Linked DNA regions of Cricetulus griseus. The protein of the gene in region 2 purifies or fractionates together with the protein of the main gene of each other region. This does not show direct contact. Links are inferred from orthologs where the notes say so. Each region holds a gene or a part of one and is shown on either strand. Other genes may lie near its edges.

What was found.
Region 1: the proteins of Tmprss6 (region 2) and hemojuvelin purify together in Homo sapiens (co-immunoprecipitation; 3 studies listed by IntAct). This does not show direct contact. The link is inferred for Cricetulus griseus from reciprocal best matches to the Homo sapiens genes TMPRSS6 and HJV.

Annotation. Positions count from the first base shown.
Region 1 is NW_023276806.1:59,966,515-59,970,755, forward strand, and holds hemojuvelin, read right to left. Parts: upstream 2,983-4,241; coding exon 2,886-2,982; intron 2,485-2,885; coding exon 1,937-2,484; intron 1,448-1,936; coding exon 824-1,447; 3' UTR 670-823; downstream 1-669. UniProt on the Homo sapiens protein: Acts as a bone morphogenetic protein (BMP) coreceptor. Through enhancement of BMP signaling regulates hepcidin (HAMP) expression and regulates iron homeostasis.
Region 2 is NC_048595.1:375,562,923-375,567,522, forward strand, and holds the start of Tmprss6 (transmembrane protease serine 6), read right to left. Parts: upstream 3,100-4,600; coding exon 2,868-3,099; intron 1,077-2,867; coding exon 943-1,076; intron 174-942; coding exon 106-173; intron 1-105. UniProt on the Homo sapiens protein: Membrane-bound serine protease. Through the cleavage of cell surface hemojuvelin (HJV), a regulator of the expression of the iron absorption-regulating hormone hepicidin/HAMP, plays a role in iron homeostasis.

The DNA.
Region 1 (4,241 bases), on a different chromosome or scaffold from region 2:
CTGGCTTGCTTGCACTTAGAGACATAAGAACAGTAGAGATAGTCAGACCAGCAGTTCAAGGGTAGTCTGGAGAGGCTCCATTAAAAATAAAAGCAAATGATAATTAATAATAAAAATAATCATGATTCCTTCCTGTGAACCAGTTTTGTCTAATAGCCTGGGGACTCCAAAAGGGCAGATAGGATAGCTGATAACTCTGAGATATCTTTCATTGTCCGAATTCCAGGTCACACATCCGTAAAGGGACTCAACACAGGTGACAGAGGACAGTGTGGAGAATTCATAGCTTTAATAACAGATCGGTAAGGGGTGGGGATGCCAGTTTCTATATTGGTACTAGTCTCCAAAAGCTGACTTCCTTTGTCTAAGAGCTAGACAATGCCCGCTTAATTTCTGAACCCCAAAACTTAATTATTTTCTTCTCTTCGGACTTTCTTAAAGATAATCACATCTTCCTATTTTTAGTTCTTGCCTTTAAGAAATCCCAGCCCTTTAATGATTTGCTGCTCACAAGCACTCTCACAATCTCTAGATTTGTAGGAGTGATATCAGGTATGTGTGGAGTGGAGTAATGAGCTTTCTACCCATGGGACTGCGGAAACTCACGGTGAAGAGCTCCTACCACGGTCTGGAATGCAAAACCCAGAATTCTTCTTCTAGGATCAAGGCGTCCCTGACTGTAGCCCCATCTGGTTCTGGGTGAGTGTCATTGTCTCCGCTATCTCCCTGTCCCCACTGCTTCCTCTGGTCCATCTTAATGTTTTCTCACGCCAACCTCTACCCTCAAATCAGTCCCAAACTAGTCACAGGGTTGCTGGCCTACTTACTGAACGCAAAGCCACAGAACAAAGAGGCCTGAAAGAAGCTGGACTAGAAAGGTAGCTGGGGAGAGAGGAGGCCCTGCATCTGAGGGGAAAAGATGCAATTTCTCTAAATCCGGCAAGAAGACTCGGGCATCGTCCAGAGCTGTCTGAGCTGCCACAGTAAAGTTAGGGTCACCAGAGACTGAAACATCAAAGACGCAAGATTGGAAGTAGGCGTCTTCCACGGGAAGCCCTTCCTTACACAGCCTTCTGGCAGTGTCGATGGCTATAGCCCCTCGGCGACTGCGCTCTGAGCGAGAGAGTCGCTGACTGGGAGGGCAGCCGCCAACACACAGCTGTAGGTCCTGCTCAGCGGAGAAGGCCCGCGCCACGTCCTCGGCTACCCTGATGGAGAAGGAGAGCTGTCCAGCTGTCTGTCGAATGATTATAGTTGTCCCAATATAGGCAGCTCGGATCTCCACGTGGCTCCCAGGGTTAGCAGTTTGAATGGACAAACTCGAGCCCCCAGGTCGGTCACCTCCATTGATAGAACCGTCTTCAAAGGCTGCAGGAAGATTGTCCACCTCGGCCTGGTAGACTTTCTGGTCAATGCATTCCTGCATGTTCTTAAATATGATGGTAATCTGTGCGGGCAAAGAGGAAAATAGTTTATTAGGACTCAGTTTATCTTTCCCTCAATCAAGCAGCTTTTATTGTTAGGGATCTGATCCCAGCAGACGCAGGGTGTCTCCACGGCCCTTGATCCGGTCCCCTATTGCCTTCCAGTAATACCTGACCCCTATCCAACCCCTCATTCCTTTTTTTTTTTTTTTTCTCAATCTCAGCCAGGAAAATAAAGTGTCCCTTCTGACTCCTCAGTTCTCATAGCCTGGCTGCCACCCCAGCTTCTTCCTCAGTGTTACCTGCATTTTAAATAAAATCCCCATCAAGAGGAACTGATCTACAGGGGCAAATGTTTGATAAGAGGCAGCCATTCAAGATGGGCGGGACTATTTGGGGAAGACAAGGAACCAGGAGCTTGGTGGCTGAGGAGTGAGAACAAGGAGTGGTGTGCCCGGTGGACCGGGAGAGGATTTCAGAAGGTGGATTAGGAGGGAAATTGAATCCCTGACCTTCCGGGTGGTGGTAGCGTTGGCCCCCGATGCCACGGGGGAGCTGGTGGCCTGAACAAAAAGGAAGTCGTTATCCAGAAGGGGCCAAGCTCCTTGGACGCGGCATGTGTGAAAGTGGTGGTAGAAGCTGCGCACGTGGGGATCCCCGAACGAGGCGCAATGCAAGAAGCCCGGGGCCCGACCGTGCAGCCGGGAAAACCGGGCCTCGTAGTCACAGGGGTCTGGGGTCGGGGGTGCTGGGCCAGCTCCGGGAAGGGCGGGGCCCCGGGCCGGGGGCGGGGCCGTGGGGCCCTGGCGAGAGCAGTTGTGCTGGATCATCAGGTCCTCGATGCCGTGCACCGCTGAGTGGAAGGCGAGGTCCCCGCGGCACGTGCGGGCTGTGCGCCGAGTGCAGAGCGCATAGGAGCGCAGGGCGCGACACAAGCCACCCGAGGCCAGCCCACCACGGCCGCCTCCACGCTGCGTACCCGGTGAGCCCCCTTCCCGAAGGCTCAGAGTGGACGAGACGTACTCGGCATTGCAGCGGAGGATCTTGCACTGGGAGTGAGCTGAGGACGGAAGGGAGAGGAGGACAGTGAGACGGTGCCCAGACGTAGGTTCTAGCCAAGTCCAGAACGCGCCTAATTGCCAAAAGGCATCCTCCATCCCAGCTCTTCCTAGCACCCAGAGTGGGCGCTTTCCCAGTCCCAACCTTCAGCCCCCTCCTCCTCGCCTCCTTCCCTCTTTTTCTCTACTAAAAAGCGTGTAATCCAGTCGGACCTTTCCCCCTTACGGTCCAAGGACTCCATATGTGTCCTTCCTCCAGTTAAACGGGGAAACAAGACAGGCCTCTTTCAGAGTGACTGGGATTCAGCACCCCTTCGCCCTCACTCACTGATGCTGGCATGCCCACCCCTACCCGGCAGCCTACCATCTAGAGGTGCCCAACCCTTCCCTAACCCTTCCTTACCCTGTCCACAGAGGAGCAGCAGTAGAATGAGGGTGCTTAGAGTTGGGGGACCGCCATGGGGGAACCAGGGACTAAGAGGCTGGCCTCGATCCCCCATACCTATCCAGCCAGATCCCCCCAGGCGCGGGTTCTTCCCAGCTGATGAACCTCCTACCTAGTGAATTTCGACAGGCAGTTCTGTGACTGGAAAAAGAAATTTGACTGGGTGTGGGGAAAGAGAAGGGTTGAAGACGGGTCAAGATGGTGTGGAGAGAATCTGGGGAGATCAAGACAACAATTATACAGACTGGAGCTTGGGAAGCAGGAGGCTTCCAGATGGTGAGCTTGGCTAGTGAGCCTCTGAGCCCTGCTCCTGTGGCCACCTTCAGGTCCCTTGTGCAATACCCCTAGGTGGGGGTGGAGGGAAGGTTGAATGACCTCCGTGGGCAGAGTCCACAGTATTGCCTCATCCTGACTACCAAATAGCAGATTTGTCAGAAATGGAGGGATTCCTGGGGAAAGTGAGTTCCTGATCATTTCAGCGGGTTCTCCTGAAGCCTTGGGATCTGAAAATGCTTTAAAAACATACCTTTTATATGTAACTCCCAATCACGAGAGGCCGGCCACCTGCCATGTCTTTTTCTTCATTGTGTTAGAAGGGCACAAAGGGTAAATATCTTAGACAAGTGCCTTCTAGAATGTCATTTTTCCAGTGAAAAGGGAATCAGTCTCTTAGCCACCCTAGACGACTGGCATTATGATCCCTCTCTCATCACATAGGATACAAACCAAGCATTTAAATTAATATTTTTTTTCCTGAAGAACAACTCTTTCTATTATCCCCCGTGCACCCCCTCCAGCCTTTGCAAATCCTGAAGTTCCTGGTCTTTTAAGGGGGGCAGGTATTGGGGAGGATCTCTCTCCCTTTCTCCTGCCAAAATCCACTCTTTGGAGTAAGTCTATATATAATTGGGCAAGAGTCCTGCAAGGGGTCTTGAGTTAGAGGCTGGGAGTGTAACTCAGTGATAGGTGAGTGTTTACCATGCTCAAGGGTTCAGTTCCCAGCATTATCCCCCAACTCCCACTCCAAAGTCTCAGTGTAATAAAGTGCAGAGGGAAATAAGGGCCGGAGAAGAGGCAGCATTAAACTCCAAGTAGACATGGCTTGGAAACCAAAACAATGAGGCAGGAAGAGTGGCGGTGGGGTATTGGTAAGGAGAAATCCTAGTTTTCAGAACAGATGTCTGTAATTTTATGAAATTCTAGCCTCAACCCAACGCTTATCAAAGCAATTTCAGTTTCATCTGGACTTACTGTTTCCCGAGGTCAAACATGACTCTGATACCCGACTCTCCAGCCATAGTTGCCTATGCTGTT
Region 2 (4,600 bases):
AAGGAGTATGATTAGGGTACTGTGTCAGAAGTCTATAGGGCCCAGCCCCTCCTGCCCTTAGAGCTGAGGCTCTCACTAGGGTCCATTTGGGCTGGGACAACTCACCCAAGGGAGTAGATGGAACTGGAGTTGTAGTAAGCACCCAGGTGGGTGCTGGCAATCAGCTCTTTGAGCTGCGAGAAGGGAGACAAGGCCCTGGTTACCCTCCATGGTGGCATGGATACGGGCTTCCCAAGTGCCTTCCCGGTCTTTTTCTCTTTCCAGACTGACATGGGAGCCCAGGGTGAGGGCTCTCACTTGCCACTGTCACAGGCACAGACCTCACACCTTGTCCTCCATCCCAAAACCTCCCCTTGCCACACACAGTCTCATCCACACCCTGCAAAGACCCACTTCACCTTTGGGTCCCCCTTTCCTTCTCCCAGGGACTTCTGGTACGGCCAACCCACTCTGGGAGTTCAGATGGCCTGCTGTTAATGAGCAAGTTACAGCTGAGGGCAATGGAAGTGCTATCAGGAGGGCACACCTGGGACACCACCATGAAGCAGCCCACGCTGTCCCCTCTCTCATGGCTGAGGGGTGCCTGCAGCATGTCTACCTGCCCCCTGAATAATAGTCCCGTGCCTGCTGAGAGTGAAAGGGGCTAGCAGCCCACTGTCCCCAGTGCAATGGCCATTGCACTGTATGAGAGGGGCAGGGCCCTGACAATAAGAGCTGCACAGTTTCAATTTCCCTGCTGCACTCCTGGCAAGTGGCAAAATGAAGATTTCTGTCTAGTCAGTTGGATCCTGTGCATGACCCTTCCCACGGTAGCCAGGACAGGGTCTATCCCAGCAAGCACTCCCTGCAAAGTGACGGACAAACTCACCAGACTCTCTCACACATGCCCTTGCCCTCTCATCCTCCCACATTTCCCCCTCCTGCCTTCCTGTCCCTCCCTACCATCTTCTGGGCTTTGGCAGTTTCACTGCGGAAAGCACTGGACTCTCGTCGGGCCAGGTCCTGGGAGAAATGGCGGTTGAGCACCCGGAGGCTGCCAGAGTACACCTGGCTAATGGTCACTTCTGTCTTGTAACCTGGTCAGAAAGGAATGGGTTACCAAAGAAGCATGTCCAAAGGTTTCTTGCCTCTCTCACCTGTCATCCTCAGCACGTCCTCAGAGTCTTGTGCCTCCAAGGCAGCGCTGTTGGGACTCTGCTCTGTATCCCCATCTACCAAGTTAACAGGGATCTCCAAAGAGCATGCTAAGCATCTGCTGTGTTGGGAAAACTGGAAGCGGGGAGAGGGGTAAGTAGAGAAGGAGCTGCATGGCCAAAATGGATGCCTGCAGGCACGTAGACACAGGGAAGAGGGATTGTAGGTACTGGGGAGAGCTGTGTTCTGCACACTTGGGGTTAAAGGGAATCCTTGAACATCCAGGTAGAGAGACAGCAATAGAGCTGAGCTGGACAAGCAAATGTGGAAGTCACCAGGGAGAAAGGACATTTGATCACTAAAGATGCCAAGGAAAAGGGGGTGGAGGCAAAGAGGAGCATCTTCCTCGGCAGAGAATGCTGAGGAAGGGAGAATTGAGGTTGAAGGCACGGACATGGTCATGGCAAGGGAGACTGTGCTCCTGGCCCAATACAGTGAGGGACACATGGGTCCAAAATTCAATGATGAACATGATAGAGGCTAAAAGAGCAGGGGCTGTGGTGGAGCAGAGCCTGGCTCCACAGAGTATATGAGAATAGACATTCGATGGAGGTCTCCATACTACATAACACCTTCTAGGAATGCTGCAGCGAGAGAAAAAGCCCCAAGGAGATGTGGAGGAAGAAAGGGGTCCCATTGTGTGAGTAAGGTGGGTTGTGCTGGAATCTGGCTTTAGATGGCTCTTGGAGAGGGTGGGAGGCAGAGCCTGTATAATGTGAGGGCGGTGCCTGGCACTGGATGGGTGGGTGGATAACAGATAGATGGATTGATGGGTGGATGGCAGATGGATAGATGGATGTATATTTGAATTATGGATGGATGAATGGATTTATTGATGAATGATTGACAGATAACAGATGAATGGCTGAATGATTAGATGGTTGAGTTGCTGATGGATGGGTAGATGATGTATTGATGGATAAGCCAATGAGTGGATGGTGGATAGATGGATGGTTGATGAATGGATGGCAGATGGTTGGATGGACAATGAATGAATAGATGGATGAATGATTGGATGGATAAAAAGATGAGTGAATGGTTGTTGGATGGATGATGATAGATGGATCACCCATGGGGCTCCAAGGATTGCTTGAGGGCCATGATATTAGAGCCAAAGAGGCAAAGTCAGATATGAAGAAGAGGTTCCCAAGCCTGGGTACTGTCTAGTGGTCCCCTTGATTCTCCATGCTGAGTCCTGGAGACACAGAGGTGACGAAGCTATAGTCCTCTCCCCAGAGTAACACCTGGGGCTCAAATGAGCAGAGGCACTAATTGGTACCAGGTCCTGTGGGTGCCTCTGGGCCTCCTGCAGCAAAGCACATGGCTTTGAGCCCAAGGGATAGCCCAGGAGGGCTGTAGGTAAAGGATGGCATGCACACAGACCCTGGTTTATCCAGACCTAAGAATTGGGTGCTCAAGAGTCTTCCCTCCCCAGCTGAAGGAATCAGGGTGCTGACTAAGCCATTGGACTCACAAAGGTCCAGCAGTGTGCTCACCTGGAGGGACATGATGGAAGGTGAATTGAAAGGTAGGACACAGGGAGTAGAAAAGCACTGTAGAACCTGGAACACTGGTCCATCCTTTGTACCACCCCCACAGCCATGACAGTTGTCCCTACATCCACCCTGAACCCTCCCAGGATACCACTCCAATTGGGCCTCATTTCCCATTACCTAGGAAATACCAAAGCATGACTCCTGCTGAGGCCAAAGCAGCAAAGACCAGCAATAGTGGCGAGAAGCGGGTATAGTCCCGGGTTTTTCTCTTGCTGTTTTTGGGGGTCTTGAACATTCCCTCTGGATCAGCAGCTTCCTCTCCATCGCCTCCATCACCCTGCCCACCTACTTGGGGGACCTCAGCGGTGGGCATCCTGGTAGAACAAGGGAGATGGAAACATCTTGGCATCTGCAAGGGAAGCAAGGCCGCACCCCTACCCTTTTCGTGGAAGGGGCAGGGAATGAGGGTGGCTGCCGAGCAGCTCACAGACAGCAGAGGTGACCTCAGGGGGACATCCCAGAAGGCAGGCAGCAGGACTGGATGGTTTGACTCCCTATGGGTCCTGAGGCAACACCCACAAACGGATGGAAACATGAACACAGAGTTCTGCCACTCTCCCAGTGGCTTCCTTTCCATGTGGATCATGTGTTTTCCTCCTTGGATGTCCAACACAGTCCCCAGACTCCCTGAGCCTGGGCCCAGACTATTGCCCTGCAAGTTTCACTGGCCTTTGCTCTCTTCCTCTTTTCAAAATCTCCTGGAAGTGAGGAAGGCCACCAAAGTTCATGATCACTTCATTCCTTTGGGAGACATTTTGCACATCACTTTATTGAATCCACAGGTTGCCCAGGATATGAACCACTGTGGCCATGTGTTCTTCCCCAATCCTCCCTGTGCAAGTGCTCCATGTAAGCCTCTTGGGAAGTTGCACCCATTGGACAGATGAAGATAGTGAGATTCAGAGTGTCCTGGGAATAGCTCAGGCGAGGATTTGCCTAGCCTCAGTTTCCTGGTGTATTTGAATACCCAGGATTTACACAAACAAAAACCAATTGAGGCTCAGAGAGTCTGAGCCCTCTGGTTAAGATCACATAGCAGGATCTGAGTATCTGATTTTTCCCCCTACTCTGGCTGTCTCCTATAATTAGCAAGTCATAGTCAAATCACAATGGGAGGTCACCTTTCCTAGTTCCTTCTATCGCTCTACCTTAGATACTCCTAAGCAAACTTTGGACACGGAAGGACACTCCCCACCAACACCACAGCAAGGATTCTAGTTCACTGGGATATCACTTTCTCTCCTGTGTCACCTATAAATGTCACTGTGACCCCAAAATGCACCCCCAGAACATTTGTTGGTAGGAAGATTCACCTGGACTCTTGAAACAGCCTCCTAGCCGAGCTGCCTGCTTCTTGTCCCCTCCTCTGTCCCATCCTCCACATTGTCACCAGAAAGGTCTCCTGCCTGCTGCCCTCATCCCTGCTGTGAATTCCTCCATGGCTCCCAAATGCTGTGCCAGGGAATCCAAACCTGCTTACTCTCTTTTGTCATACATAACACCCTTCATCCAAGCCCATGAGACCCTACCCTAGTGTGGCCACACTGGAATTGGATGGAGTATGGGGACCCTTCCTATGCACTGTCTGGCAATGGGTTCAAGGGTTCAGGGTCCTTGGTTAATTAATCCATTCATCTCCTTGCACCCTGGGCCACCTTGGTTAAAATCAACATGCCTGGCTTTGGGCCTTGTTTCTCTCCAGCTGCCCTTTTAAAATAAGAGCTGGGACGGGCGAGATGGCTCACAGAGTAAAATGCTTGCTGGGCAAGTGTGAGGACCCACATTTGGATCCCCAGAACCTACATAAAAATGGGATGCAATAGCGGGCGTCTGTAGTCACAGCACTCCAA